Linked DNA regions of Lepisosteus oculatus. The protein of the gene in region 2 interacts with the protein of the main gene of each other region in a biochemical or structural test. Links are inferred from orthologs where the notes say so. Each region holds a gene or a part of one and is shown on either strand. Other genes may lie near its edges.

What was found.
Region 1: the proteins of copa (region 2) and cope form a complex in vitro, tested with the Homo sapiens proteins (3 studies listed by BioGRID, with this or other methods). The link is inferred for Lepisosteus oculatus from reciprocal best matches to the Homo sapiens genes COPA and COPE.

Annotation. Positions count from the first base shown.
Region 1 is NC_090724.1:5,802,189-5,818,241, reverse strand, and holds cope (coatomer subunit epsilon), read right to left. Parts: upstream 7,886-16,053; 5' UTR 7,871-7,885; coding exon 7,721-7,870; intron 7,142-7,720; coding exon 7,079-7,141; intron 6,605-7,078; coding exon 6,504-6,604; intron 6,098-6,503; coding exon 5,945-6,097; intron 5,370-5,944; coding exon 5,316-5,369; intron 4,932-5,315; coding exon 4,850-4,931; intron 4,233-4,849; coding exon 4,077-4,232; intron 2,991-4,076; coding exon 2,922-2,990; intron 2,343-2,921; coding exon 2,268-2,342; intron 1,796-2,267; coding exon 1,748-1,795; 3' UTR 1,425-1,747; downstream 1-1,424. UniProt on the Homo sapiens protein: The coatomer is a cytosolic protein complex that binds to dilysine motifs and reversibly associates with Golgi non-clathrin-coated vesicles, which further mediate biosynthetic protein transport from the ER, via the Golgi up to the trans Golgi network.
Region 2 is NC_090699.1:8,456,927-8,472,842, reverse strand, and holds the start of copa (coatomer subunit alpha), read right to left. Parts: upstream 6,674-15,916; 5' UTR 6,596-6,673; intron 6,589-6,595; exon of another isoform or gene 6,502-6,588; 5' UTR 6,452-6,501; coding exon 6,412-6,451; intron 5,489-6,411; coding exon 5,375-5,488; intron 4,911-5,374; coding exon 4,837-4,910; intron 3,681-4,836; coding exon 3,600-3,680; intron 3,183-3,599; coding exon 3,106-3,182; intron 2,545-3,105; coding exon 2,435-2,544; intron 1-2,434. Other genes in the region: ncstn (nicastrin), read left to right, coding at 9,546-9,627, 11,748-11,852, 13,246-13,369, 14,201-14,319, 14,427-14,572, 15,015-15,165. UniProt on the Homo sapiens protein: The coatomer is a cytosolic protein complex that binds to dilysine motifs and reversibly associates with Golgi non-clathrin-coated vesicles, which further mediate biosynthetic protein transport from the ER, via the Golgi up to the trans Golgi network.

The DNA.
Region 1 (16,053 bases), on a different chromosome or scaffold from region 2:
GATTTCTCAGGAGACCCCGGCCGGCCGGCCGCCGAAGTTAAAATATATCCAGTTAGGTTGGGGTTACAAAAAGAAAGACAAGACATAACAAAATAACGAAAAGAGAGATGATATTGTGCCCTCTCCCGACCGAGCGACAGAAACCGAGCGCAGGCAGGATCAATGCGGACCGACGCAGTCTAGGAGATGGCACATTTTAAGGAAGAAAAAAACGAAACAAAACGTCATTTAAAAAAAAAAAGAATGTGTCGTCTGCTTTATGCTCTCACACCATCGCCCAGGTTTGCAGTCCAGTCACCGTCGCAGTGAAGGTGGGAAGTTATACCCCGAGCATGGTATAACGGAGAACAAAAAACACTAGAGGTGACGTGACGTCACCAGGACAGCTACCCCTCCAGCTCGTTTAAAGGAACCGTGCACCTCCGTTTGCACCTGCCTCCGCAGGAGTAACCCGGGCCTTTATATCAATCATGTCCGTCATCTCGGAGTTGTTGGGGTTTCGTTTTTCTTATTTATCCCGCTGTCTGTTTTATTGCCAGCCAGGCAAGGCGCCGGTGGAAAACTCGCAGCACATTGCGTGAATAACCTCCTTTGCACTGCTGCCAGTAGGCGTCATTGAACCGTCACGGCACACCACCAGCTTGGAGCTCGCATTTCGTGAATGAAATAGCGCCCAACCCTAATAGTGAGCCAGATGAAACCTAATTTTGGATATTTGATTATCAGAATGCCTGGGGGGCTGTTTTGTTTTAAAACAGACTGCCAAATAATTCTGCCTATGAAGCGTTACTGCCGTTTTCTCTCGATAAGGTGCCGTGTTCACTATTTTCCCTTTAAAACACGTGTAAACGCAGAGTAAAAAGTCCATCAAAACTCGTTGCGCTGCATTTATCAGTTTTCCTCTTTTTTTAACAATGGACAAAATATACAAAAATGCTTAGAAGGGAGCAGTGTGATTTTTTGCTCTCAGTGCCGTAGTCTGTGAACATCTGTCCATTGTTGATGACAGATTTTTATATCCTTACTCCTGTTCGACTTTAGAACAGTAGCCACCCGTGTTGCAAATGGACTTAGTCGCGACTTTCACATACAGGCTCACGAAAGAACACGAGTGAACGCGAGCCCACGCAAGATGCAGTTCTTTCAAGGGGAGACACCGACTCAATACATCTCTCATTTCCAACTCGAGTATCAACAAACCAGGCTGCAGACTTGCCTCACTCGCTCCAAGAACCCCAAGCAGAAGTTATATTAATCACCGGAGGGAATATTCCCATCTGTTACTGCCTTCCCTCCCTCCCAGAACAAACAAACCGTTGACACCCCTTACATGGGTTTTGGGGTCTCACAGACACCCCATCTCAGCAGATCGCTCAGTGAATGTTAGCTTCTACAAACGCACCGAAATGACCACCTCCTTCAACTTGACAGGACCCCCCTGAAAAACAAACCTTTATTGTCTTTTAGGGTGACAAAATAAATTGACACAAAAGGAACACGCACAGCTCCCAGGATGCTTTGCAGCAGACAGACATAAGGGAATGGGGTCCCGTTTGCATGTATTTACAGCCAATTAACGTATTCACTTCAGGGACAACAAGAGAGGACACTTCCTTTCTTATCCACCTCCAGCTGCAAAATGAGCGACCAGCTCCATGTGTTAAATACAGGAAGCGAGAGTAATGTCTGCCGTTTAGAAAGCAGAAAAACGATCCCCAGGGGACAGCGGTCCTGGCCGGGCTGAGACTCACGCGCTGGGAGCGTACTGCATCACTAGTCGATCGAACTCGTTCTCCTGTTTGAGGGAGGAAAAGGAGGAAACAGCATTAACAGGAGGAAGAAGACATTTCAATTCTCAGTCAGGATCTCGTTTATTGGCCAAGTACATTTCATGTGCAAGGAATTACCTCTGGTGTTTTTGGCGTTACAAAAACAATTCTACATAAACCGTACATAAAACATAATCAAGACAACACAAATAACTAGGAATTCTGGTTGAGCAAAAAGACAGCTCTTGGGATACTGGGTGGTTCTGTTTTTAACAGACTGGTAGCGTCTTCCTGAGGTAAGTTTATGAAACATTTGGTAACCTGAGTGGGAGGGGTCATTTATCTGAGTCGCCTTCAGGGCAAGAGGTGTCATACAGACAGGTGTAAGTAGTATCCTATTGGACACATGTGATAACCATGTGTCAGTATTCACAATACGTGCCCCCTTATGTGGACTGTCATGCAGAGTGGAGGTTTCACAGTTTTCCCATTCCTTACCTTTGCGACATACTCTTTGAGAAAGGGGTGTCCTTTGTGCGAGTCCTTCAGCTGGGAGAGATAGCGGTTGGTCACCTGCCCAGCAAAACAAATACTCTTTTAGGAAGAAGGCTCATTTTGGAATACACACGCACAGAAAAAACAATAGTTCAGGAATACAAAGAACAAATTCCTTTCAATGTCTAATTAACAACACAGCAAATCCAAGTGAGAATCTTAGGTTTCTTCCATATATCTACAAACTAAGCCGATCTCAAGTGTCCCAAGCGTGTAAGGCATTTTGCAGACTTACACCTGCTGCATCCACAGACATGATGCAGAATGGTGAGCCCTATTCAGTCTGGAGATGGTCACCAAAGGTCAAACAAACCAATCTGTTGCCTCTTATCTCTCAAAACTGTAAGCAACCCATCTTTCAAGGACTTCAGGAACTCACTGATTACTTCCACCATGAAAATAAAGTTTCCAGAGATCACTGAATAATTATTTAATGTACATTTTCATTTCAAGGTTATACCCTACCACTTCCAGACTTTTAACTGTCTTTATATGCAGCAACATCTTCGTTTGTTTTACATCAGGAACCAAGAGTCGGACTAAAACACTGATCTTGGAAATGAATGGGATAGAGAGTATTCCCGGGGGGTAGCTCACCTCAGGAGGCTTCCCCAGGTGCTGCGTCAGCACGATGAGGTTGATGAGGGTCTCAGGGTGGCTGCTGTCCTGTTAGAGAAAGACAGACAGAAAGTAAGAGAGTCAGAGTGAGAGGTGGAGACAAAGGCGTGTTTTCAGAAATGCGCGCAGAACAACCAATTCCTATTACTACACCAGAATGTACACAATTCAAATGACAAGATTTCTCTTTGACACTCTCTATTTACTTCTAGCCTAAGTTAAAAAAAATCACCTTTAAGAAGACAAAGCCAAAATAAACCATTAACTTTTTAAAAACCAGTGCCTATGAAACGTAAGAATTTAAAAGACATTCAGGCCATTCCGGTTGCTTAAGTTTTTGTTAGCTAACTACTAGGAGAATTCTGTCGGGACATTTCTTGTAAAAAGTCAGGTTTATCAGCTGCAACAACATGACTGGACAGGATTCTCCAGTTTTCGACACTATCTGCGCACAGATGGGCTTCCTGTTACTCATTTTGCATCAAAAAGTACTAACACACACACCACAAAAATGTATCACACAAAATCTCAACAGTACCCAAGAAGCACACAACATTAGAAACCAAGCTATTGTTTAACATTCTTGTAACAGGGGCATGGCGCCATCTATGGTACAATAAGGTGAACTACAACAGCAATGCCCCCAACAGATCTTTGACCCGCGGCTGTGAGTTATTGGTTTGAGAAAAATCAGCCTAATCCCAGAGGCGCTTGATCCTTATGGTCTATGGTTCGAACTTGGATCACAACCGTAGCCGACCGATAAGGCCCTCTTGCAGTCCAAACAGTGACTCCTAGGACTTGTTGGGCGCCTGTAAGACTGCAGCAAAGGCAGGGGGGATGCTCTACTCCCTCACTCACAGTTAACTCTCCTGTAAGACACTGTGAAGCAGCAGTGTGCCTCAAGGCACAAGGGTTTGACAGGTGAGTGCGTTTGTGTGCCTTTGTATACCTGGGGCAGCAGTGGAAGCCAGGTCTTGGCAAGTGCATAAAAAAAAATCAATGATTTCTAAGAAAAAAAAACAAAATGCTGTAGCAAAGCACTCTTCAACCCTGTCAGAAAAAATGGCATTGGGTTATCAAGACCTGAATGTGGATCACTAGGCCCTTCCTTCCTCTGCATTCTTACTGTACCTTATCAAGAGCCTCTTGCAACACGCCTTCGGCTTCATCCCACTTGTTCTGTGCCATGTGACAGACGGCCTGGCCATTCAGGAGCAGCAGAGTGGCGGAGTACTTGTCCGACATCTCCTGGAAGATGTAGTAGGCATCCTGGAGCTTCTCTCCTCCCTGTTGGCAAAGAGACCTCAAAGAACTCCGACCTCCCTCTGAGCCCACACAGCTAAACAGTACAACCAGTATTCCTGAGGATGCATGGATGGGCATTCACGAGGAACGGCAATTTGAGGACTCCTCCAAAATGTCTCGACAGCGGCACTTCACTCATAGGCTACGTTTTTCACAGGACTTTTATTATTTCGGAACGATAAATATGGTTCGAAAAGGAAGTTCGGGAGGGTCCCCCCTCATCTCTACTACTCTAACGCATCGCTCTCCATGACATCACTTCCTGAAAAAACTATAAATATCCCAGCAAGCCTCTCTCTTGCTCGCATTTATCCTTCGGCGTCATCCTACACCCCTCCTCTCCATCTGTCCCTGTCCCCTGTCTGTTTGGGGGTCGTGACCTCCTTGTTCCTTGCTGACCCTCAGCTAGGCAGATAAAGCCAAAGCTTTTTGCTAGACTCCTCAAATATTGCTAAACCTGTTTTCTTCGTAGGCGTTTGTCATTCCTTGAGAATATCCCAGAAGGAGAGGTCTTTCTGCATCTGAAGCAAAATCCATCCTATGGTGCTCCAGACAAGTCTGAGGTGCTCAAACCCTGGTCTGAGGAGGCAGCTACTCACGATGGCCAGATTGACCCAGGCGGTGGCCAGCTGAGTCAGGGTGGCGTCTTCATCCTGCTCCTGCATCTTTTTCAGCTCCTTCCTGTGGAGACACCCAGCAGTCGATGAACAAGTCTACGCACCGAACACAGTGCCAAATAGACTAGAACGTCTGAATTAATAACTGGAGCATTTCCAACATATCTGATTTCCCTAAAACTGTAGAATTTACCAGCAGGTTTTCTTTACAAAATACATTTAAAAAACTGCACACATAACACCTGCAAAAGAACTACTGACAAACATGTTCTCAAGGTTGGAAGGATGACTAAACCTGCACTCTAAACCAATATAGATTACAAAATAAATTATTTTTGAAATTCACGGCATGCAAATCCTACTACACACAGAAATTACACTGTAATGTTCACTCTCTGGCCTTTCAGTTTTGGCCAAAGATTAAAACATTCCCCCCTACCACACTTACCTGGCTAAATCCAACCTGTCCAGCTTCAGCAGCACCTGAATTGTCATCGCCATGCTATAACGAGATTAATCAACAACAAGATATTTAAAAAAAAAGCCATGTTAGCACATTCTGGGATAGGTGAAAGGTAATAAGTGTACAGGGCATATAGACATCACTGCTGCAAATTCACCCATTAAAGTCTGAACATTATGTTCATTTAATCACGGCCTCTGACATGAGGGTACAGGCTTTCTGAATATGTGGAAAAGCCAAGAGACAGGAACTAAAGCAGTTAAAAACTCTAGGATTATCTCACAACTGATTTCCCTGCAACTTCTTAAAAACATTCTACGTTTTCAAAAAGCAAGGAAGGCAACGGGCATATTCCAGAACATGCTTTTAAAGGCAGACACATTTGAAATCAAATCAATTTAAAGAAGAATCAGACTTCTGAAGTGGCCGCAGACGGCAGATTTTGGATTCTTTTGCACTTTGGTGCCGATCAGAAACATTTTCAAATACCCTGCAGGCAATGGAGGCGAGAGGCTGCTCTGCTTCATCCCCGAGCTGATTTCTAAGCCCCCTGTCCTCCTCCCTCAAGAAGAAGGGAGACAGAGGCGGACACTGCCGGGCTCAGAGAGTCTTACCACTCCAGGCTGTCTCCCTGGTGCAGGGTGCGCAGGGCCGCGTCCGTGTTTATCTCGTGGAAGTAAAGGGAGGCGGCCATGAGCAGGAAGGTTGTGTTGGCTACATCGACACTCTTCGCCATCTTCTTATCGAGCTCCGCCACAATGGCATCCCTGAACCGAAGGCAGAGATTCTTCAAGCAGTTAAAATAACCATTTTCACACTCTCTCTCTCTCTTATGGAAAAAACATCTAGCATGGTCAAACGCACAGACTCGAAATAATCCACAAACATAGCAACAGAGGATGACACCTCTGAGCAAAACATGCAGCACAATAACAGCTTGATCATTAATGAATTTAAGGGCATTTATATGCAGAAAAGATTCTGTCTTGGATTTTTCTTCCAAAATGTCTCTTATGCAACACAGAACTCACATGCATTCCCTCCATCTAGCAAGGACAGACAATCTCATTTACAAGACATGCAGTTAGCTCTGGTTTCCATTCATTGTCCCTTCATTTTGATGTTTTTCAGTTTGATTAGGTATTGTTTATCTTTTACGGACCCAAACCTGACCTTTTGGCCTCGTTAGAGAGGTATTCCGCAAACATTCTGACTGCCTGGAGCTCTGGTGAAGAGCTGGGTTTGACATCATCCAACACCACACCATACTTCCTCTGAAAATCAAAGAGCACGAGGAATTATCACGACCAGTCCAGCGAAGCAAGAGCATCAACCCTTCAAGCTCCAGATCCAGCAGTAAATCAACCCAGGCCAACACCTGCACACAAACTGATACAATACAAATCCTGGAGATGTGTGAACGTTGAGCAAACAGACCTTTTAAATATTTGTGGTTTTATTAAGGTACAAGAATTTCCATACATAAAATAATAACTTAATTACTGTTCCCCTGAATATACTCTCTGTTCCCACCCTCATGAAAGGATTTATCATTATCAATTAATCAGACATTTAGTAAAGTTCAAACAGACTTTGAATATTATAGCCTGGTTTCTGCTATGGTAAAAAAAACATATGGCAAAAAAGTCCCTTTTTTTTGGCCAAGAGACAATGGACAAGTCACAGCAGAGCAGGTGAAAACAGAGAGAGACTCTGCACAGGCATGGAAATGAAGGAGCAGTACCTACCTGAGCTATGTACGCTCTGTACAAAAACACATCTCTCTCAACCTCTTTCTCCGGACTTGACGGCTGAAAGGGAAGGGAGGGGAGAATCACTTTTTAACAACTTATTTCACTTACAAATGTGAGTTAAATTCAGGGAATTGGTTCAATGTCACTGTTTGATATTCCTTTATAAAGATTTAACCTCGAGTCCCTGTCAGCCACTTGAAGGACACGTCCGTGAATCCGGAAAGGTACTGAAACGCTTCAAAAACTAAACCTCTGATGTACTTCTGTGAAACGTTTACATAACAGATACAGCTTTAAACACAGATCCGCAGTTGTGTCCCAAACTCCTCTGTATTTCATTACAACGGCTCGATTTGTCCAACATTATACAAGAGATGCACTATAAATACTGTCAGTAAGAAATCACGATCACACACAAAAAAAAAACGGATCTGGATTCTCCTTGACGACTGTTTCACTCGTACTCAAATATAATCTTTGTTTTTACAACTGTATCAAAGTAGTAAAAACATCGAAGTATGATGTGTTTATATTATGTGCTCTCGGTTCGTTCTCTTCACTATAATAACAGCTTACTGAATCAACAGTGCAATGTTTAAAAAACAGTCCACAATAACGTTTCCAGATACTCCTTACCTTCGCTTTTTGCGCCTCGTTAATGCATTGCTGATAACTACCGATATAATACGCATTTTTTACATCAAAAAGCTCATCAACTTCTCCCTGTTGAGACGCCATGTTGACCGAACCGAGCAGCTTCCTGGACACGTTGGCCAGCCACGTCATCTCCCGAGCTGGCGTTTCCCCGCCCCCTGAGGGTTATGGGAGATGTAGTTTGAAAGTGGCAATTTTTCAATTAGAGATGTTTGAGTAGTGAGCTGCGTCAATGTGCGATGGCTGTAAAAGCAGCAATGCAGAGGACGCTTCCAAGCTGAAAAACAGAAAACGTTTCTGGTGTTCCGCTACTTTAGATTTGGCTCAACAACCAAAACGTTGTGTTTCTCCTTTTCTATTTTTTTGTGAGCGGTGCAATTGTCTGCCTCCTCATCAACAATGACGTAAAGCCTTATATATATTCTTGTTTCTTGTATAATAAAAGCTACTTAAATAGTTTCATATTTTTATTGCTAAAGGACTGTACCGCGTAGCGATATTTGCCTTACAGCAAAGACCTTCCTTATACTGTATTCGCCGTTTGAAATAAGAATAAGAAACTGTATTAATATAGCACCTGTCACTTGTCTCATTATCTCTAACACTTTACATATAGGAGGAGGATTGACAGCATCCACTGCTGAGGTGCTGCCCCCTCCTGGTGACTAGGGGCATCCATTCTGCAGCCTCCATGCACAGGACCTTAACCAAGGAAGCAAAGGGGGAACTCTAGGGAGGCCACGTTTTACAAGCCCAGAGCCCTCGGATTATTGCCCCAGCCGAAGGACGGCGTCTCCTACAGCACAGTGTCCACGGCCGCCATGCCTGGGCAGACAATGGCCTGGAAATTGTGAACCAGGGATCAGAGCGCCACCTACTGGCCGATCAACAAAGCTAACAGCAGTTGCCTCATTTTCCTTAGAGCAGGGGAGTCCGTCCAGTTTTACAGGTAGTCTTTAATCATTCGTTTCTAAAGTCGTGGATCCATTTACCTGTGGTCAGTTAATCAAGGGGTGTGTTCGACTGAGTAATGTAGCGATGACGTTGAACTAAAATGAGAGCAGCCTTCAACCCTAGTGGCCAGCGAAACATTACTCGCTGAATTGTTCTGTTACTTAAAAACGTCTTCCTAGTTTTTCATCGTTTTCAGCACCATGTGCTTTAGGGTGACCTACAATCTAAGATTCGTGCGGCACTCTCAGCAACGAGGGGTCAAAAGTCTCTCATCGCAGTACTAACTCGTCCCAACCTTGCTTGGCTTTCGAAAGCCACTTTAACTTAAAAGTTTACGTCGCAATCGAAAAAAAGCAAAACAACTATCTCTATATTTGCGGACAATGCGAGCAGTACGTTTAAATAATCCAAAAAACAACAATTTTCTAAACTCTTCTTCCAACCCAGCGTCGCGGGGAGCATATCCAGGTGGCTTATCCAAATCTGTCTCCCCTGGAAAACTGTATTCCCCACTCGGCCATGCGCATGCGCTCCGCAAAATAAGCGGCTCCCGCGTGCGTTTGTGTCTTTGCGATTTCAAAATCGGGAATAAAAAGGGAGCCTCTCTGTTCGTGTGCGCTGAAATCCGCTATTTATCCCGAAAGAGTGCACACACACACACACACGGTATGCGTCCTTTGCCCTTGTGAGTTCCATATAAATCATTTCACCTGCGGAGGAAGCAAAAAACAAAAACCTGTGTTCTTGAGGTAGCGGTGCGGTACAGATTTCCAGGGGGAAAGTGACTTGGATACGACCCCTTCGAGTAACAGGCAAGATGCACCCTGGACGAGACGCCAGGGCAAACAGACACGAACACACACACACACACTCAGGGCCAGTAAACCCACTGTACCAGCATGCTTTTGGACTGTGGGAGGAAACCCACGCGCACACTGGGAAGAACATGAAAGACTGGATATAGTGCGGGGAAAAAAAAATCGCTCTTGACATATCGCGTTATTTCCCATTCACATCTTCTCATGTCTTTTGCAATTATAGGCCAAGGAAAGGAAACCCAGCACTACGGATATAAAGTACATCAATCGCGATATAGGTTAGAATGTAATTTCTTTTTAATCAGAATAGAAATCCCCGATCATGTACTGTTTGCTAATGTTTAACACAGGAAAACGTACAATGCCGAGCGTTTCCTTCCCCCTGCGTTAATATGACAAAGCAAATGTGCTGTGTGTCTGGATACAATGGGGCACGGCATTTAATTACAATATATATTTATTTACAATGCGTGTCTAGTTCGGAAATTGTCTTAAATACAGGAATTCCTCTAACAGGCCTCCATTCATGCGACGGAAAGCTGTAACAATACTGTCCAGATAGCATCCGTCTGTTAATATAAGGGACCATGTCTGGTCCGCTCTGGGGCTGATTGGGAAACCCCACCGTGAAGCTTTCCGTCTGAGCTCATAGAAACACACTATATCAACAAACAATGGGCACCTATAGCTGTACGTGTTTCCGAAGAAATGACAGTTCATCTCTGCCACTTGGTCAAACCGAGATAATTAAAGGTTCAGGTCATGAGAAAATGTGTACAGCAAATCAGAGGCCGACTTCGACAGCAGGGCTGTGTATCTTGTTCCAGACTCCTACAACCCTTTGTGTACAGAAATACCTCCTGTTCTCAGTTTTAAAGGAGCTTGCATTTAGTACCCACATTTTGTGCCGGAAAACTGGCTTTTAATTTAGTCTTGATGTATATGCTAATAGTAATAATAATATTCATGTTGCATTTTGAAGCACAGTGGTTAGGACTGCTGCCTCACAGCTCTGCAGCCCTGGGGTCAGTTCCTGACCTGGAGTGCGCCTTGCGCCCGTTGCTTGCCGGGATAATCTCCGGTTTCCCACCAACCCTGATCTAAAAGAGGCGTATTAGAAAATGGATGTTACGTTTTGTGGATATCTTGATATCGTCAGTAGTAGTAGTAGCATCTGGACTGCGATCTCTGCACCGTCAGGAAATGACATCATTTTATTTAAGACGAATAAGGACGTTATTAGTTTGGATTTCAGTTTTATCTTTTTTTAATTAAAAAACGTGAATGCGTGCAGCTGCAGCTCTGTTTGTTTATATTATAACAAATAAATCCCTCTCAGTTCCCTCCCATTGTTCTGCTAATGCCATTTCCTTTGGGAAACTGAGCCACGGAGCTGGGACCCGATTTGTGGATAATTACTGGAAACGGGGCTGGGGGCAGGGAAGGAATGGGGCGGGCACATTACGTTCCGTGCCTTATCCGATTGGGCAGATTACAGCAGGTCCTGTGCTGTCATTGGTCATCCACGTTGTCAATCAAGCGGCCGAAACTCCAGCCTCCCAAGTCTCCCAAGTTTGAAACTTTGTAAGGAGTCAAGTTTCAACCCCCCCATCTGTAACTGATCCCAGAGAGAAAAAAAACTTCTTCAATTATTTACAAGCTATTAACTGACACAGACCATACCGTCTAACGCAAGACGCGGATAAGCAGGGAATTAATTACCCGATTTCGACAAGTTAAGACTCCGACATTGCGAGGCGAAGAGAGAGAGAAAAAAGACCATTGTCTGATTTGGCCATAATGAAGGTCCGGGATTTTGCTGCGATGAAGATTTGAAAAAGCAACTCTTGAGTAAAGTTTACAAAACGGACGGAGAGGCGCTTCTTGTGCGTTTACGCGCTGTATCCGGTGTGCATTGAAGAAAGGAAGGTAAGACGTTGTTAATTTCAAATCTTAACCTATATTCGTGATAGATCGCATTGAAAACATGCCAAAGAACGCTTATAGGTAAGTTCTACATTTATTTCTTGCGCGCAGAGCACGGTTTTATTAATTATGGGGGGCGTTGCCATTAGGAGAGAGCATTTTAAATAAAAAAAAGTGTAGTAACGGTAGAATTAAAACGTTTAATCAGAGTTGACTTCCCCTCCTGGCTCCGCACGAGGTGCCGTTTCTTTGCCAGGTCTATAAACGTTTGAACTTCTTCACCGAACTTGGTGGTGGTCGTGTGTGCGATGTTCCCCGAGAGCTTGACAGCTGTCAGTGTCGGCTTGCTAGTCGAGATAAACAGAAGTAGCATGTCTGCTTTCTCTCACATGCGCTGCCTTTGTTTGGGGGGGTCAAATGAATTTAAAAACGAGCGAGCGCTCTCCTGTCTCCCCACCCAGCAGATCGGTTAAAAAACGGAGATGAACTTTGGCCTCGCATTGACTCGGCGGCAGGGATGGCCGTCCTCAGCTGTGTGTGTGTGTTTCCACATACATGGGTTTGCATGAGAAAGCCTGAAGAGGAACTCTGCACAGTTGCATTAGTGTGAACGGAGATCGATTATCAGTATTTAATTTGTGCGTATGACGAAACGCAGCTTGTTTGGAGGGGAAACAAGCTGTATAGTTTTAGCGGCACTGGCGCGCGTGAAATATATCCTGTTTGATTTGTTGAGTCATAAAAACATCCTTAAGGAAGCACGATAAATCTTCGCCGTGCAATGTCTGGATCTGCTTGCCCTTCCGAACTGCACTTGAAGACAGATACCTAAAGCTGTATCTTCTTACGGTATGTTGGTAAAATAGGTCAAAGGAAGGGACATTGTTGTTGTTTTTTTTCCAAGACTTTGAAATGTTAATGTACCATTTGGTTTTGGTTTGGGGTACATCGTCGCCTCTGCGCTTCGTGGTTCCGTAAACGCTTTGAGAAACAGCTCACTTATTGCCTGGTCAGTTGCAAAAAGGCACCAAGAAACGATGAATACGTCACTTCGTTATCAGCTCTTTGCTGTGGGCTTCAAGTTAACCCCACCGGATGTCGATGTTAGGACTGCGTTTTCTAAATGAATGCGTCTTTCATTAGATTTTTCTCTCTCGCCTGCAGTGCATTTAATCAAAACAATACTATACACTAAAGAACATTTATTGGAAGCTTACAGTTCTAAATCTGTTTGCATAAATACGCTACATTCCTTTAGTTCTTTAGTGGGACTTTGTGGATCAATTCATAATAGTATAATCCCTTGTTAGATAATGACAGTCAAACAATAAATAATCCACAGACGCTTAATTGTGTTTTGCTGGGATGAATGCAAGAAAACACAGCGCCTAACATCTTAGTGATAAAGTGTGTGAACGTTCAGATTCCGAGAGCGGCAGCGAGGAAGCTCATCCGGGCGGAGCAGCTTCCGCGGTTGCCTAGGTAACCCGCAGATGCATCGCTGCCTTGGCAACGCCGGTCCCGGCTATGCGGGGACGTGAAATTTAGGAGAGGTGTGACTACCGAGGACCATGTGTTCTTCAACAGAACAGGATGACTAAAAAGCAAACACACCTGCCAGGTTTTACAGAGAAACGCTAGATCTGTATGTCAATAAACCTTAATTACAGGGATATAACCCAGAAGTAAATGCTTTCCTAAATACAACAGCTAAAGCATGTTGTTACACAAAAGATTACGTCTTTCCTTTGGAACCCAATAACACTATATTAAGTGAAACCTTTAGAAGTGTTGGTATTCCTTGTCAATGTAGATGAATTGTATTTGTTGCGCCGCGGCTGTACACTAGGGGGAGAAATTGCTATGTAGTTACCCGACATTGTACTGTATTGTACTGCGACTGTCGCCCCAGCTGGGTTATCGAGAATGCAAACGTCATTAAAACTAGATTATATAATATTACAAACGCCCTGAGAAAATAAGCAGTTACTGGAAAACATCCTTGCCTGCGTTAGCCAGCGTACAACTTCGTATGAATCCGTTATCGGGAAGCCGCCGGTTCCCAGTAAAGCGTTGAGTCAACCCAGAGCTCATCCCGGAAGACCAGCGCGCAAGGCGGACCTGACCGCTGGACAGATCACAGGGCAAACACACACACACACACACACACGTCCAGCTCAGAAACAGCAGTTATAACGGTTAGCATTACATTTGGACAGGAGCATGTGGCGAAACCTGGCACTGGGAACATGCACACTCCACACAGAAAGTGCTTCCGTCGGGAACTGATCTCGGGATCTGTAACAGCTTTGAATATACTGCAGTAATTCTGGCTGCACAGGTATATTTGATTTTTTTCCACGCCAAAGTTGCATAACCAAAAATCCTCCCAAAAAAAGAGCAGTGAATTCATACCACACCTATTGCACCTGACTCAATTGCTTTTAGACTTTATGTCACCTTCTTTGTACTGCTTTCTGTTCAAGGTTTGTGGAAGTTATTTTTGCCTACGATATCATTAGGGTTCTGCCTGAAAGCAGCTTAATACACCTGCTGCATTATTGTCAAAGACCTTTTTCCCGCCTCGTTATGTCTAACAAAAAAGTTATGCATTATTAATTAGGTTTTTTTTGTTTGTTTGATGCCCTTAATAATTGATGATGCAATGGGCTGAGCAGATCCAAGTAAATCCGCCTTTGGACAGCTAAGCTGTGTTTTCCCTGCTTGGAATTCTGTGGAAACCCTGACAGACACAATGGCCAGAACGCAGGGGTGACGTGGAGATCGATTACAATACTGCGGGCGGCTCTTCCTCTTTCCTCTTGGCTGCACAGGCCCATGTCCGGAGGGGCTGGTAGGTGGGTAGTTCTGGATTCGAGCCACATCAAGTCAGTCGGTCCAGAGCTCATCCTGGTTTCCATGGCAATACGCAAACAAAGAGCCCAGTCCACCACAGACCCCTCTCCCAGCAAACACTGGTCCCCATTCCTACAGCTGGGTGGACAGGAGCCACTGGCTACAACATCAGCGTCTGTAGTGGGGACCCGAACCCACTGCCCACCTGTAATGAATGCAGGGACTGACGTGCAACTCTACACTGCCCGCTAGACTTGGAGGTAATTGGGTCAAAAATAACATTCAGAAATTCAGAGTCAAGTCAAAATAATCAAATATCCTCAAATCAAAAGTTCCTAAAAGAAAGTTCTCCGTCGACCTTGACTGAGATCACCTGCAAGATGTCCAGAGACTCACCCTCAAGGCCACATTGCTCCCTTTCCGGGGGGAGAAGAAAGTCAAACATTTTCTAAACATCTGGATCAGGGTCATGGAATCGAGAGCCCGAAGTCCAGGATTGAACGCAAGGCCTCAGCTCTGTGAGGCAGCAATGTTAGCCCCTGTGCCACCGTGCCCTCACTATCTTTAATAAGTTAGATATTTAATCATATATATGCGCAGTAGTTAACACTTGCCTTCCGCTCAAGGAAGGAGAAGAAATGAGATTCTGACAGCAGCTTGATTGTATCTCTGTGCACACAAACCCACAATGGGCAATTGCAGTCCTGCAGGAACTGCAGATATTTTTCAATTAGCAGCTGATTAAGGGTCTGACAATTCTGTTCCATACAATCATTAAGATCAAAGAAGTACAGTGGAAACCCAGTCCTCTGGAAGCCTTTGAGGATTGGGTTTTCTTAAGGCACTAGATCAGAAATTCCTAACTCCAGTCCTGAGAATCCAATAGGTCTTCTCTAGGTCTCCTTAAGTCACAATTGTAATAATATATTTTGATATAAACATGCTTCTTCTGTCGTCTCTATAGTTGTTTATACAGTAATAACTATATATATATATTTATGTGGCAAAGGCGCTATATAAATTAAACATTTTAGTAAATTGATTAATTTAAGGTTTGACTGGGATTGCACAGCCTCAAGCTGCGACTGTTTTTAAAGAGATAAGAAACCCGTTGGATCCTGAGGTCTTGTGTTAGAAACTCCTGCCTGAGATCATCAGATTCCAATGATATAGAGAAGAAGGAGAATTCCTTACACTTCTACACCACTTTTCTGGACACTCCACTCAAAGCACCTCACAGTTAATGGGGATCCCCTCTTCCAGTGTGTAGCCCCCACCTGGATGATGCGATGGCAGCCAGAGTGCGCCAGTACACTCCCCAAACACCAGCTCTCAGTGGGGAGGAGAGTAGAGTGATGAAGCCAGTTCAGAGACGGGGATTAATAGGAGGCAATGACCGGTAAAGACCAGTGGAAAATTTGGCCATAACACCAGAGTAACACATATACTCTTTTCAAGAAACACCCTGGGATTTTTAGTGACCATGGAGAGTCTGGACCTGGGTGTAACATCTCATCTGAAGGATGGTGTCTTTTTTACAGTATAGTGTCCCCGTCACTATACTGAGGCATTAGGATCCACACACTGCAGGGAGAGCGCCCCCTACTGGTCTCACTCACACCTCTACCAGCAGCAGCCTTAGCTTTCCCAGGAGGTCTCCCATCCAGGTACTGGCCAGGCTCACACCTGCTGGGCTTCAGTGGGGCCGCCAGCTGTAATTTGCAGGGTGATTTAGCTGCTGGCATAGAATGTACGAGCTCT
Region 2 (15,916 bases):
CTACACTTACAGGGTCCTTATGAAAGGGATTGATATTTAAATGAATAAAAAGCTGGGAAACACTGCTTTAAGGATGTATTACTTACCACTGTACACAATAGATTACTGGACCTGACTCCTTTTAACGCAAGTACCTTCTAGCCCAAAAAGGAAAGGAAGAGCACCAGGCCTATAGTTCATCCAAAGGGATTTATAAACAGAATTCCAACAGGAGCAAAAAAAAAAAAGGTAGAACAGGAACCAAAAGCGCAACTGTAGATGTTTCCGGTGGTGTGTGGGTGTAAAAGGAAGGAAGAAGGGCAAGGGGGAAGAGTTTCAATGCCGGACCGTCGGCTGGTGGGGATGTGGATAGTGGGGGGGAGGGAATAGGGCTAAGATCAGGACAGACTTCGGTTTGTGTGACGGCCTTGTCAGTACAGGAGTTATAGGTTTTGGATTTCATGCAGTTAGCGATCAGGCACAGGCTGAAACTGTTTAACTCTCGCAAAAACAAAACAAGAAAAGAACGAGGTCAGCCTTCAGAGCACTTGTGGGGTACCTGCAATGTTCACATATTGCTATCGAGGCTTTTTGCTGGTTAAGACAAATCCAAACTCAAGACACTGTAGTAGACACGCAGCAACTAAAACTGGGGGAAAGAATTCCCTCTTTTTCTGCATGCCAACTAATTTATTATAACCGGGGGAAATGTTAGAAGAGAAAAGGTCATGTGATCAGTCATGCCTCCAATCACAAAGTTTCTAAAGCACAGTGCAGGCCATGCGTTAGGATTCTGGTTAAAGGAACATTTTAACTTTGGTTATTGGCCCTGCTGAAACGCATTAGCGAGCACTCTCCGAAGTAATCCTTTTTCTCCAGTGCTCTTTGCGAATCCAGCTCACTGAAGTATATTTTCTTACTTGTCAATCCTTTGAAGGAAAATCTGAGAAACCAATTTTGTCATTAAGACAATCGGGGGGAAGAATCTCATGACCGCAAGGGATGGCAGTAACACGGAACAGCGTTTGGGGATCTAGACCTGTTCCCAGAGGGTCAGTTTGGATCCTGCAGTTTCCTTGATTAAAGTGATATACTTTGCCCTGATCGCCATTGCTACTGTATGAATGAGTATCAGAATTTTGCTGGGGGAAGGAGACGACCTGCAAAGTACTGCAGTGTCCCAACCAAGGGGTGCAAATGTACTGGTAGTGTGCATAGCAAACCAGGATAAGCCCTCTCCTGTAGTCACTAGGGCTTCTGAAGAGGCTTGTGGTAGCCCTTGCTGGTCATTTCCAGAAAAACTGGTACAAAGCATTGCTCTGTGTGAAGGCAGCCGAATGCCATTTCCACTGGGTGTTAAGAGCAGTTAAGCAGGCAGGCAAATAAAGAAGGCGCGAGCTACGATGACATCACACAGTCACTTCCCAGCATCCTCCACACAGCAAGCAGGGGAGAAGGTTACATCACAACGCATGCAGCGACACAAAACCTCACCCCCCGACTCCGCCCCCCTTTCCCGCGGGACTGTGAGAGTGGACCCTTTGCCCCAGTCTTCAGTCACAACAGACTGACACTGCCTGCGCACGGGGCAGTAGCTCCAATACACACTCGGAGAGCGAGTACTTCACTGGATCACCAGAGACACGACGTATAGTATCTGGAACAGACTTGATTCTGCCCACGTAAATCCAACCACTTGTTAAACCAACATATCTCCCTTATTAAAGGAGGAATCATATAGTAGATCTTTTTGAAAGGGGTGACAGAAAAAGGAAACTGCCACTTTACAGTGTTTTATCAATTTTTCCATTCAGTTTAAGGCAGTTGTGCATGGCAGCCACTGATGGAAAGTCCACAATTCCATGCTGAAAAGAGAAGAAAGAAAACAACGTTTCGGCCGTGGAGTCTTCTTCAGGTCTGGTCGAAACGTTGCGTTTTCTTTCTTCTCTTTTCAGCATGGAATAAACCTATTACTTGATTCTTTAAATCTGTCTCACATTAGCATTAGTATATAATTAAGCATGTTCAGAAGCATTGCGTTAGGCTCCATTTTACAGAAGCCATCGTTAGCCAATTACAGCGTGCCATCAGGGGCTGTGTGGAAAGACTCCACAGCAAAATGAGATGGAGCAAGCCACAACTACCTTGTGCTGAAATCTCTCTGAATGGCTCAATTCCTTTAGAAGACTGCCTTGTCCTGTTACCCACAGGGGTGTCAGAGCAGGCTACCTCAGCAGTGTCTCTTTCAGGCGACAAAAGTCTGGAAGACTGGGGTTCGGGGGGTGCCCATCACCTCACCCGCGGAGGAGGCGTTACGGGGGATGTCCGTACCTTCTTGTCCATAACCCTAATATCCCCCCCCCCCCTCAAGCCCCAAATTACCCCAAACTCAGCCCGGTCTCCCCTTTACCTCCCCCTTGGCCTTCTGCCCTCTCTCCCCCACCCACACGCTCACCCGAAATATCCCACACTCGCACGGTCTGGTCCAGACTGGCCGACACCACCAGGTCTTCAGAAGGGTGGAACTGGGCGCACATCACATAGTGGTTGTGCCCAGTCAGCACGCTGGAGGGAGGGAGAGAGAGAGGCGGGTTAGGGGTTAGGAAAGGGCACTCTCTGACCGCTGCCCCCTGTCTGTATCAAAGGAAATGTCATCAGGAAGCAGAGCAAGGCAAAACCCACTGACCTTAAACATAAAAATCACATTACTCACTAAAACACCCTCTCAGCTGTGCACAGAGTACTATGTAACACACACATGAAATAGAACAATGACTGTAGCATATAAGGACACAGATGACCAAGTTCTGTAGTGCCCTCTGCTCTTTTCAATCTCTGATTTACAGCCCACTTCAATAGCCAAAGCCTGTGGACAGATAAAAGAGCTGTATAGACTCCTGATCGACACTAACATGGGGCGTGTATTTTTTAAGAAAGCTGTACAGACCACAGATGTGCCTGAACACGATGCTTATATTCTTTATGAGCTGTACAGAGCACAGATCTCCACCAACATGATGCGTATATTCTTTAAGAGAACTGCATAGACCACTGATCCGTATCAACATGGTGCTGATATTCTTTAAGAGCACAGACTACTGATCTCATGGTCTTTAATGCACTTACCAAACACAGGTCCTGGACTGCCAGTTCCAAATGCGAATGGTCTGGTCGTCGGAGGCACTCAGAATCCAGGGATAGTCCTTCAAGGCAAAGAGGCATCTGTCAGAGAAACTCTCACCCTGTGCGCAGCCTGTTCAAAACTCAAGCAAACCCTTCTTTCAGAAAAAGTGCTGGTCGGCTCCAGTTAGATATACATTACAGATCGGGTGCAGATGATTAAGGCTCTTCTAAAACAGAGGAACGAGACAACCTAACAGAGGTTCGCCCGTTGATAGTTAGCAGTTTATCGATCTGAGGATCTCATCCAGATGTTTCTTGAGAGAAGCCAGGGTACTGGCTTCGACAGCGTGGCTGGGCAGCCTGTTCCACACTCCCACCACCCTTTGTGTAAATACATGCCTCCTGTTCTCAGTTTTAAATAGACTTCAATGAGGTCATGAGCAGAACAGACAGGCAGAGGGAATAATGTCAGGGCTGGGCGGAGGGGAGACACTCACATGGTGGAAGAAAGTAGTCCGGATGTAATCCAGATGGCCCAACAGAGTGAAGAGGCAGCGTCGCAGTTTGTAATTCCAAACCTACGGAGAGGGAAGAGAAATTGGAAACCGAATGACATTGGAGTGCGCAATGAGCAGTCACACCACTCTGACAGAGACAACGGTTTTCCAACCTTCTTCCATCCCATGGCACTCCTCCTGAAAAAAACAAAATCTTGGGACCCACCACACCCATCCCCACATAAACACATCACCTGCTCAAATACATTATTTTTTGACTGATCACACACAAAAAAAAAGGGGCAGCAATGGTGACCCTGCTGCCTTGCTGCACTGAGGCCCTGGGATCAATTCTGGACCTGGGGTGCTGTCTGTGTGGAGTCTGCATGTTCTCCCAAGGTTTGCACTGGTTTCCTCCCACAGTCCAAAGACATGCTGGTAGGTGAACTGGCTTCTGGGAAAACTCCCTAGTGTGACTGTGTGCATGTCTTGTTGGGATAGGCTCCAGTCCCACCCCACCCCTAACCCTGAATTAGATGAAGGGGTTCGAAAATAGATGGAGCTATAATCAAAACTTATTTCAACTTATTTAATCTGAGTTGCCTCAAAGCGCTCAGTGGCCTCATCCTGGCAGGAATTGGGGGTTGGTGAAACAGAGCTCTCAGACATTCTCTGTTCTTCTCCGTCACGTCCACCAAACCTGAAGAACTTCACTCGCAGCCCACATGACTCCTGTGTCTTTGAGTGCAGCCTGTCTTCATCCAATCACAGCACTACAGGAGACTGAACTAACTGACAACGCAGGCAGCAAAACGGCAGAGAAAGAAGACTGAAGACAATCGTGTTTCTGGCAGAACTGCGATTGGACAAAGGCCTAATTAAAATCCAATATATTTCTGTGTACCTTCTGCTCTTCAAGCCCACCTTAACCTGGAAAGGCACTCCCATTAATATAGGCTGATTAGAAAAAGATCTTTGAGAACTTTTTAAGTTGAAATATTCCAACAACTCCACTTGGTTTATTGGCACACAATTTCAACACATGTAACTGTAGACTCTACATGACCTATGCCAGCACATACACAGTATGTGGACTTGGGTCTACACTGTGGGGAGATGGTGTGACTGTTGATAAAGGTTTGCGATTGCACGCACACGGCGTGTCCGCACATAGAGTGCTGTCTGCACGTGCACCGCGCGTGGTGCATATATAGCAGTGTGGCAGCAACACGATTACCTTGATCTTGTAGTCATCGCCCCCAGACACGAAGAGAGGCTGCTGTTTGTGGAAATCAATCCCTCGGACCGGGCCTGCACAAAAACAGAAGCTTACACCTGAAGAAGGCTCCACAGCCAAAACGTTGTTTTCTTTTTGCTCTTTTTTAGGAGGGAATAAACCGATTACTTGTTCATGTGAAATAACTCTCCTGCCCCCTGAAACACCGTTCTACTGTATTATTTGTATTGTAGTGTAGGACTCTGCATTAAAATATCCCCCAGGGGATAATAATGATAAATGAACCCTTTATTGCACAGTTTTGTGTTTCTTTGACCTCTCTCTTTTCAGCAGAAATGGGGATCAAAACACTGTACATTGTGCAACAGAGACTTGGGCTTTTTGATAGAATCTTATCAGACGTGTGAAATATTTTCTTAGAGTGACGGTTGTTAAGGTCCCTCATCTGTTTCATGCACTTGCTTCTTCTTTACTGCAGTATCACCGGGGAACTATTCAAAGATGGGGCTGCTCCTTTACGAGGGAGCGCCTTCCTCACCGTCGTGCTCGTCGAACTTGTCGATGAGGGTGCACATGCGATAGTCCCACAGCTGGATCACGCCGTTGTGGAGGCTGGCCAGGATCCACGGGCGCTTCGGGTGGAAACTCAGCCCTGTGGGGGAAGAGGAGCGGACAGAGCACACACTGGCTCAGTCAACAGGGAAACAAGATCCAGAACACGACGTCTCCGGCTTTGCTTTGTTTTTTTTTTTATTAATCGTCAATGTTTCCTTTTCTGACGCTACAACTAAACCCGAATGCAGAAAAAAAAGCCGAGTTCGTTTTTATTTAAAGAAATACATGTGAGATTGCGAGAGAAAAAAAAAGAAGTCCGCCGAAAACTACCTGTTGCGTTCTAGGAAAGATTGCAGGAAGGATCGGTAACTATAAAAACACCAACATCAAATCGGGTCAATCAAAAACATGATTAATGATTTGTTTTCTCTAAACAGGATGGCTATGTGGGTTTTCTGTGGTTTTCACTCGGCTGACCCCCGTAAAAGCATCAGTGATTGAAAGATTACATTATAAATGCTGAATCTTTTACACTGCGGTCAAGCTGTACAGAACAGATTCAGTGTAAAAGCCGGAAGGTCAATACTGACAGTTACGGTTACCTTTGAACAAACTAAGCATAATTCAAAGTCAAATAACTAAAAAGCATAAGTCAAAAAGGAATACTCTCTTTGTTCATCAATCAATTAACAGTTAATTATGTAACAATCAACAACTGATAAAAAACTAAACTCATAATTCATATAATAATCTCATTAATAAGAATTATTTAACTATAATCTGACTAATCTATCCAAATCTTATTATTATACCATGTTTGCAGCTGAATCAGTCGTCACACACCCAGTCCGGCTGCTGGGTTGCAGACGACAGCAGCAGCAGCACGTCATCACGCCACGAAAAACGCTGCTCTTTTTGTGTTTTCTTTTATTTAGATTATTTTCGGAGGTCTTCAAAATGTGCGCGGACAAGAAGGACAAACGCGACGTCGCAAAAATAAAAAAATAAGCGCCGCCGTACCTTTGACTCGGGCCGATTTCGTCTCAAATTTGGTCAGCATCTTCGCACCTGCCGCGGATCTCTCGTCTTCAAGCCCAACAAAGGTCTATCCTATTGCAAAAAAAGAAGACTAGAACACTACTACTATTGTGTTATATATATATATTTTTACTTCAATCTCCTCTCCTGTTCCCCTGACACCCACCTAGGGCCGCATCAGTGGATTCGGACTCCTTGACACGTCACCTCGCCACCCACTTCCTCTTTCCTGTGAACAATAAAGCTGATTCAAACAACACGGAAAACGCTCCACGTTGGCTCTCGGCGTTCAACGACCTCCGCTGTCGGCCATCTTGAGAAGGTCGAAGTTATTTGCCGTGCAGTATATTATCACATAAAGAATACCTGTTTTGCTTTTTTTTAACCTATTGAATGTGCTTATAGTTGTTGTGGGTATTATTTAGTCACGTTAACACATAGTTAAGCGGAAGAATCTTCTTACATTTATGGCCAGCAGCTAAATCCTCCTGCATTGTACAACTGGCAACCCACTAAAGCTCAGCAGGTGTGAGTCTGGCCACTACCCTGATGGGAGACTCCTGGGAAAGCTTAGGTTGCTGCTCGAAGAAGTGTTAGTGGGGTCAGCAGGGGGCGCTCACCCTGTGGTCTGTGTGGGTCCCAATGCCCCAGTGACGGGGACACTATACTGTAAAAAGGCCCCATCCTTCGGATGAGATGTAAAACCGAGGTCCTGACTCTCTGTGGTCATTACAAATCCCAGGGCACTGCTTGAAAAGAGTAGGGGTGTTACCCTGACCAAATTTCCCCCTGGTCTTTACCAATCATGGCCTCCTAATAATCCCCATCTCTGAACTGGCTTCATCACTCTGCTCTCCTCCCCACTGAGAGCTGGTGTGTGGGGAGAGTACTGGAGCATCATCCAGGTGGGGCTGCACACTGGTGGTGGTGGAGGGGATCCCCATTACCTGTAAAGCGCTTTGAGTGGAGTGTCCAGGAAAGTGCTATATAAGTGTAAGGATTAGTTCATATTTTGCACACCATGAAAATCTTACACGAATTCTTCCATGGCATTCATTTAATTTATTTCTTTTTTTCTTGAGTTTTATTGAACATTAGATAATATGAGTTAAAGGAGAAAACGTATCTTAAACAAGAAAAATCAACAAAAGAGACTCTTAAACTGTGTTTCCTGAGATATTTAAAACTCTGAACAAGATAAGATGGCTTTTTATTGTTCATGTTTTTCATGGAGTGTACAGTAAGTAATATCGCATTTCCATCGAATAAACATTTAAAGAAGGAGTAGTACGGGACCATAAAGGAACAAGTAAAAAGTTTATTTCTGCTGAAAAGAGAAGAAAGGAAACACAAAGTTTCGGCTGTGGAGCCTTCTTTGGGTGTGAGCATTGTGTTTTGTGGAGGTAATTGCAACCCACTATCAATAATTATAAATGACCCATTATTTATTCATTATGAACACTGTAGGGAGAATCTTTGTGTTTTGTCAACATTTTATTGAACATCAAATAATACAAACAAAAGTGAAAAGGTGTGTGCAAAAGACAACTGATCAATAAAACCACAGAACAATATGCTGCCAGAGGTAATTACAAATCTGAACACCATGTTATATATTTACTTACATCACCTGTATTTTTTGCCTTGTTGTTTTTCAATTTTGAATGGTATTGAAGTAATACTGAATTTCTTCCATATAAGCATTATAGAGGAAATTACTTTAGACCATTTTGTCTTGTAAATGTGAGATTTACCCAGCAGCACTAACATATTACTTCTAAATAAAAGGTTAATTTTCCATATTGCATCTTGCAAAGTATAACCTAATATCAAACTCCTTAATTCTAAGATTCATATCTAAAAGCTTACATATAATGTTTCACAAGTCTATCCAAAACAAAGTTGTTTATATATATATATTAATTTGACAAATAAATGCTTCAGTTTCTTTTCTGAATCTATTTAAGTGTTAGTTCAACCTCAGAAAAAGTGTCAAATTGTATTTCTTTAATCTTGTTAGGAAGGAAGTATCTGTCAGCGGTTGTCCAAACTAATTTTCTAGGTCATATTTTCAAACAGAAGGATGGGTAAAGGTTTATTCCATGCTGAACACATGTATCTCTTCTTTTTCAGCATGGAATAAAACCTTCACATATTCTTCTCCAGCTGACACAGCTCCCTACTTGAATTCCAGACGGATATGCAGAGAGGAGTGAAGCAGGGTTTAAATGGATTCCTTAAGGAGTTATTATTGCATTTTTTTTATCTTTTATCTCCACACCATTGAAGAACAGATTCACTGTAAAAGCCGGAAGGTCAATAATGACAGTTACGATTACCTTTGAACAAACTCACCACTTTCTCAGGAATAACATATTGTAACGCAACGGGGGCTCAGGCGGGCGCCCTTGCCGCATCTGGTCGGCCCAAAGTATAGGTGGCTCGAACCCGGGACTTCCGCGTCTCTCTGCAGCGACCTAGCCCCGTGAGCTAAAGAGAGATCTCTCCACAGCCCAGAAGCTGTGGTCCTGCTATCACAGGGAAGGGCGGTGACGTCACCCGCTCTGGTACGCCGGCTCTTACACACAGTGCTTGTCGGCCGTAAGCGTTACAATATTCCTGGGTGTAACTGGAATCTATCCAAAAAAGAAGCATAAGTCAAAAAGGAATACTCTCTTTGTTTATCAATCAATTAATTAACAGTTAATTACTTAACAATTAACAATTGATAATAAACTAATAATAATACATATAATCATCTCATCAATACTAATTATTTAACTATAATCTGACTAATCTAACCAAATCTTATTATTATACCATGTTTGCAAGAATATAATATTTATGTAGTGAAAATCATGTTTATATATTAAATTCCACTATTGTAAGACCTACCTAAATACCTCCAAATACCAAATACATTCAGTGTTCCGGACACATAGTGCCAGCCAGTTGACATATTGGTAAGGTCAAGTTCTGCGGGTACAGATGTCTCGCGAGTGCCGCCATTTTACTGAGGTCTGGAAAGCACCTCCGTCGCGTTTCTATGACAAGGAAAGGCGATCGCCCATCCTTCTCTGTCGGAGGTTTGGTGTTTCCTGTGAGTGTATTGTTTGATGGTCCGAAAAATCAGGAAGATGGCTTCTTCCTTACGACAGTGGATTTTATTTCTGATCGTAGTCTGCGTTTTAAATTCAGGTAAGCTGCATCAACTGCGGTCTGCAGTGTCGACCAAAGACTGGAAAGCGAAATGAAGTAGGAAGCTTTGGGTCAGATTTTGTTTTTCCCAAAGAAATTGTGCATTTGTCTCTGTACAGGTGAATCAAGACAGTTTAAACAAAAGTATACTTTAATACATCGACAAATAAGCGATACCGAATTTATCGCAACCGAGGTTTAGTGCGAAGCTGAGCAACTGTTGTTACAGAAATAAAGTTACTTGCTACTAATAACCCCTGAGTGTATCCCTAGAGTCCATTCCCCCAGACACCAGGAAATCAGACTTGTTTAAAATCCGTGCTGCATGCCCGTGTTAACCCGGAGAGACTTCACATAGGCAGGGCGGTCAGTGTTGGTTTCTCGGTCACCCGGTACTTCAGTTCGGACAGATGCCTGGTCGTATCCGCGTTTATTTTATGTGGTCGTTTATTTCAATTAAACGCGTTTTTTTGTGTCTTAGCAGAGGCGATGTCTCCGGCTCACTTGCTGCTGGTGGTCATATGATTTAGTCATACGCAAACCTCGGGGTTTGTGTGTCAAACCCGAACTCGGAGCCTCATGAGAACCTGTTCCCGAATTTCAGTAGCAGTATTGTAGCAGTACCGGGCGAATTCTCGCAGTGTTCTGCTCATCCAAACATTACAAAAACAAACAAACAAACAAACCAATCATTATTTCCGAGGTGGTTGTATACTTAAATAAAAGATGTCGCATTGAAATAAGGCGCTCTCAGTGTCCTCTTTTTCAGCGGCGAGTTTAATTTATGTACCTTGCTTCAATCTATGTGAAATGCTTTGTTTTAAAAGCGTTAAGCAAATGTAGGGTGATTCTGGCTGTCATTACATAGCAAGCACCGTAGTTGGAGCGATGGCGAGAATCTCTCTCGTTACGTTCATCTTTTATTTATAAAGAGCTCACCGTCCCTCTTGTAAATCAGTACACGAGAATGGTCCTATGGTTTCAGTATGAGACTGGGAAGATGGGTTGTGTTGGGAATAAATAGTCAACAACCAGTACAATTCAAGACCTGGGGTGCTGTCTGTTCACATTTCCTCCCACTGTCCAAACACATGCTGGTAGGTTAGTTGGAAGACTGGCCCAGGTGTGAGTGTGTGTGTGTGTGTATTTGTGTGTACCCTGTGATGGACTGGCGTCCTGTATTGGATGAAGATGTTAGAAAATAGATGGATGAATAATAACAATAAACTTTGTTATATAGCGCTATTAGAAGTGATTTCTCAAAGCGCATCACGCTATGAAAAAAGCACACAATGAGAGGATACAGCAGGATTTTAACAATTACAATAAGGGTTTGGAATACAGTGGGAACGTAAAGGGGCAGACATAGAACCAGTTCAATAAAAGTCCTTCTCAAGAAAGAAGGTTTTGAGTCTAGATTTGAGGAGTTTAGACAAGGTGGCTCTCTGATATCCTTAGGAATAGAGTTCCAGAGCTTTGAGGCATAACAGGAGAAGGCCCTGTTGCCCATACAATGTAGACTGGCTTGGTGTACAGACAGGAGACCAGAATTAGAAGAGTGAAGGTTGCGAGGTGCGGAGTAGGACGATAGCAGCTCAGACAGGTACTGAGGTGCCAAGCCACGCAGAGCCTTATAGGTGAGCATGAGGATTTTGAAGTCCACACGAAAACTGACAGGGAGCCAGTGCATGGACTCCAGGACAGGAGTGATGTGATCACTTGCACAGGACCTGGTCAGGATTCCGGCTGCCCAATTCAATACATACTGAAGTTGATTCAGTGTGGATTTAGGTACCCCAGCAAGCAGGGTGTTAGAGTAATCAGTTCGGGTTCGGGAGAAGAAGAAACCATTAACTAGCTTTCCCACAACTGTTGCAGAAGGTAGTCTGATGATGGAACGTTGGTATTTGGTCGTGTCCCTCTTATGTGCAGCAAGCGCTCGAAGTCTGCGACCTGTTTCGCCCCCCCAACCCCTCCTCCAGCCAGGACGCGGAGCTCGGCGGCGTTGGGATCTGTATTGGTTCCACTAGCAAAGCCGCTTGGGCCCCTAGTGGTGGCGCTGCTGCTGCTGCTGATGATGATGATGATGATAACGGCGGCTCTCTCTTTCTCTTCCCCAGCGGGGACCCTGGCCAACTCGGTGGAGCAGAAGATCTACGTGCTCCTGAACAACACGGCCCCCTGCGTGCGCCTGCTCAACTCCACCCACCAGATCGGCTGCCAGTGTGAGTAGCGGTTGGCGGGGGCTGGCGGGTGGGCGAGGGTGGTGGGAGGAAGATGGCGGGGGCTGGCACCTCCGGTAGTAGGTGGGGGGGGGGGTCAGGGTATGCCACGGTTTGCGCTGTATAAACTCCAGGTCGCTGTATAAAATTCGGTCTCTGGCCCTTCCACTTGACTTAAAATGGCCTGGAATTCAATCCAAGCTAATTCCAGCTTGTGGACATCTTTATGGATATGGATGTTGGAACTGATGTATTTAAACTAAATAACGTCCACTACCTAAATCCTGGGGTTTTTCTTTTTATTGCTGCAGAGTCTGTTTAATCCATGACTGACGTCTGTCTTCTCATTTGCTTGCTGGATGCAAGTGCGTTCAATATATTGCTCGATGCGCTCCTAGGAGTGTAGAGAATAGGTCAGGGTAGGAACCTGCTACCGTAAAACTGAGTAAAAGTGAGCGAAACCGTGAACGTGCATGGCTCTCGGGGGGGGGGGGGGGAATCGCAAGAGGTTCATCCGGGAAACCGTTGCGCAAGTCAAATTTCGTGCAAGTCAGCCGAGCCGATCTGCCGGTAGGAGTCTGTCAAGCGGAGTGGAGTGATCTGACTCTGGGCAGGTTCGGGCTTGAGGTGGGTCAGTCTACACGGCGTGGGTTTCAAGGGGAGCTGCAACGCCGCTTTCCTGTTTCGGGGTTGGAAAGAATCCAATGGGTGCCTTTCAAACCACCGTAAGAGTAAACGGTACACGGTAACTTGTAAAACCTCCAATTCACATCGCAAAATAGACAGCATTTCCACGTGTGAGCAGCGTCATGTTCTGCGATTCAGAACAAGGCACCGAAACGTCTGGTGAGGTGAAGCAGCCCTCTTGCACTGTAAACAAGCAGGCTTGTGAATCCATCTCTTTTAAGCCAGCAGAAACATTGCTCTCGACTTTGAGACGGTTTTGCCAACAAATACTACTTCCTAGTCAACTCTGCCTGCAGGTCACATTGGAACATTTCTGCTGTGAAATGTCTGCTGCACAACCTGGACTTATTCACTCGTACATCACATTACAATAATTATTACAGTGACTAGTGAGCAGGAAGGGCCGCTTCACGTCACAATTCTAGTGAATTGTCGCTCTCGCCCGGCGACTTGCACTACTTTCACGATTTTATTTTTCATTTGGAATCTGTACATCTGTTTCTGTATGGTCAAGGAATTTATTTCCTTACCAAGATTTAATAACCAGTTCGAGAAACTGGGGTGGCAGCCCCCCTTGAACACAAGTCGCCCAGTTGTTCGTCAGGTGGCTGGTGCTGGCGGCTGCCTATATAGTTCGCCTTGCGTTCGATGCCGATGACAAGGGTGGATAAGACTAGTTCTGAGACTTCTCTCCTTCCCTGTCCGTCAGCCTCCATCTCGGGCGACACCGGTGTGATCCATGTGGTGGAGGCTGAATCGGATCTGAACTGGGTCCTGGCCAGTGGGCCCAACCCGCCTTACATGGTCCTGCTGGAGGCGCACCTGTTCACCAGGTACGAGTCCACCCTCCCCACACTCCGGCTCCGTCTCTTCCTTCTTTCCCAGTGATGCTCCTCTCCTGCTTCAGGCCTCTTGTGTTTTTTTTTCTGAAATTTATAACTACTTAACTGAAATGCATCCAGTTTATTATTTCATCAGGTTGAACGGGTCAGTCCCTTCCTAGATCTGGTCCCACCGATCAGTTTGTTCTGATCCAGGCTTGGGCATGGCTAGTAATCGCAAAAAATGCATAGCAACAGAGATTTGAACCATTGGGTGATCATATTAATAAAATATTAATAATTCCTTACACTTATATAGCGCTTTTCTGGACACTCCACCCAAAGAGCTTTACAGGTAATGGGGATCCCCTCCACCACCACCAGTGTGCAGCCCCACCTGGATGATGCTCCAGTACTCTCACCACACACCAGCTCTCAGTGGGGAGGAGAGCAGAGTGATGAAGCCAGTTCAGAGAGGGGGTTATGAGGAGACCGTGATTGGTAAAGGCAAGAGCTTGTACAAGAAACAAGGAGACTCGGGCAAAATATAAGACTGTTTTTTTTTCCTCTTGCAGCCATCTAGATGTTTAGTTTAAATCTGGGCCCTCTGTGATTATTAATGGTTTAGGTGCCAAGGGGATCACAATCCTGGATGCAGGCATTTGGGTCTGCAATCCCTGGGATGTTGTAAGATTTAGGATTAGCAGAATGAGTGCTGCTGGGGAAAATCCCTGGGATGTCTCGTGTTGCATCCTTGCAACTTTCCGAGTCGAGTGAAAGAGCTGAACGGGGCCCTCCCTCCTCCTCCTCCCCTCCCTTTCCCCCTGCCTGTTTCTCCCGCAGGGACGTCATGATGAAGATGAAGGGCTCCTCCCGCGTGGCGGGCGTCGCCGTGGTTACCCCGAAAGCCGGCCCCGCGGCAGGGTTCTCCCCTCACCACAAGTGCCCCAACGAGGCCACCGGTAGGAGCCGCCGTGTCCCTTCCCTTCCGTCGGTCCCCCGGCCCGGAGCAGGCGCGGTTCGGGCGGTACTAACGTTGGCGTTCTGTCTCCGGCGGCCTGCCGTTCAGGGGTGTACTCGGAGAAGTACGGGCCGGAGTTGGCGCACTGCAATCAGACCGTCTGGAACCCCCTGGGCAACGGCCTGTCATACGAGGACTTCCCGTTCCCCGTCTTCATGCTGCACGATGACAACGAGACGGCCGTCGTCAAGAAGGTGAGCCTGCTGCTCGGTCCAGAGGGGAGGGGGGCGGGAGCATCCCAGAATCCTTGGCAGAAGATGGGATTGAAAGGTCCACCTCCTGTTAGTCGCTCGAGAGTAGGAGCTGAGGTTTCTTGGGATGTCATTTTTATTTCTGCTCAAATCAAAACCATCCTGGATTCCCAGATTAGTTATGTGATAAAGAGGCATTGCAGAAGATGGGTTCAGAACACCTTTACTGCCTTCTCTCGCGCTCTCTGTTCTCCGGTATTGTAATCTTTTCTCGATCTTGAAACGTAACCGCATCGGCTGCTCTCAGCTGTCTGGCCCTGTAGAATCTCACGTCGGCCGGGGCAGATGGGAGATGTGAGTGCTGCCTTTTTTGGGGGGGGGGGGAGCAATCCCAGCATGCTCGGCTCCCCGGCCGTTGACGTCTCTCTTGACGTTGGCATTGCAGTGTTTCCGGGACCACAACGTGGCAGCGAACGGCACGGCGCCCCAGTTCCCCCTGTGCGCCATGCAGCTCTACTCCCACATGCACGCCGTCACCGACACCGTCACCTGCATGAGGCGCAACAACCTCCAGACCAGCTTCAGCATGAACCCAGGTGCTTCGCGGGGGTCGGGGGCGGGGCCGAAACCTTGACTCTCTGGTGGAAAGGGCCGACTTTCTTGATGGGTGCGGCAGCTGTTCTGGGGAGAATCCACGGGAAAGAGCCCCGATTCTCCTACAGCTGGCGTATGAGGTCTGATTCGTAGAAGAAGGGCCTGCGATTCAGCAGCCAATGGCATACAAAACTATTTGATATTAAGCAGCAGGTATGGATACCTCTTTGGTGGCACAGCGCTGAGCGTTGCTGCTTTGCAGTGCTAGGGGCCCTGGGTTCAGTTTCCTGGGTGGTATCTGTGTGGGTTCCTCTGGGTGCTCCGGTCCTTCCTACAGTCCAAAAACAGACTGGTAGGTTCATTGGCTTGTGGGAAGACTGGCCCTGGTGGGAGTGTGTCTCTGTGTACCCTGCGATGGCCTGGCGTCCCATCCAGGGTGTAACCTGCCTTGCGCCCCCATTGCTTGCTGGGATAGACTCTGGCTCCTCTGCGCCCCTAAAGTGGGTTAGAAAATGGCTGGATGGGTGTGTTTTCCCTGATCTACGGGATGCACAGGTTTCCTGTCGCATCCTTGAACTAGAACTTTATTGCCATATGTAACCGGTGCATGTACTGGTACCATGGAGTTCTTACTTACAGAAAGTCTCTCGATTGTCTCTCGAGTGCAGGCGGTGCATTGAGACAATATACAAGCAAACAGTAGACAATACACAAGTCAACATGTAAACCACGACTGCCTCTGCAGTTATTATT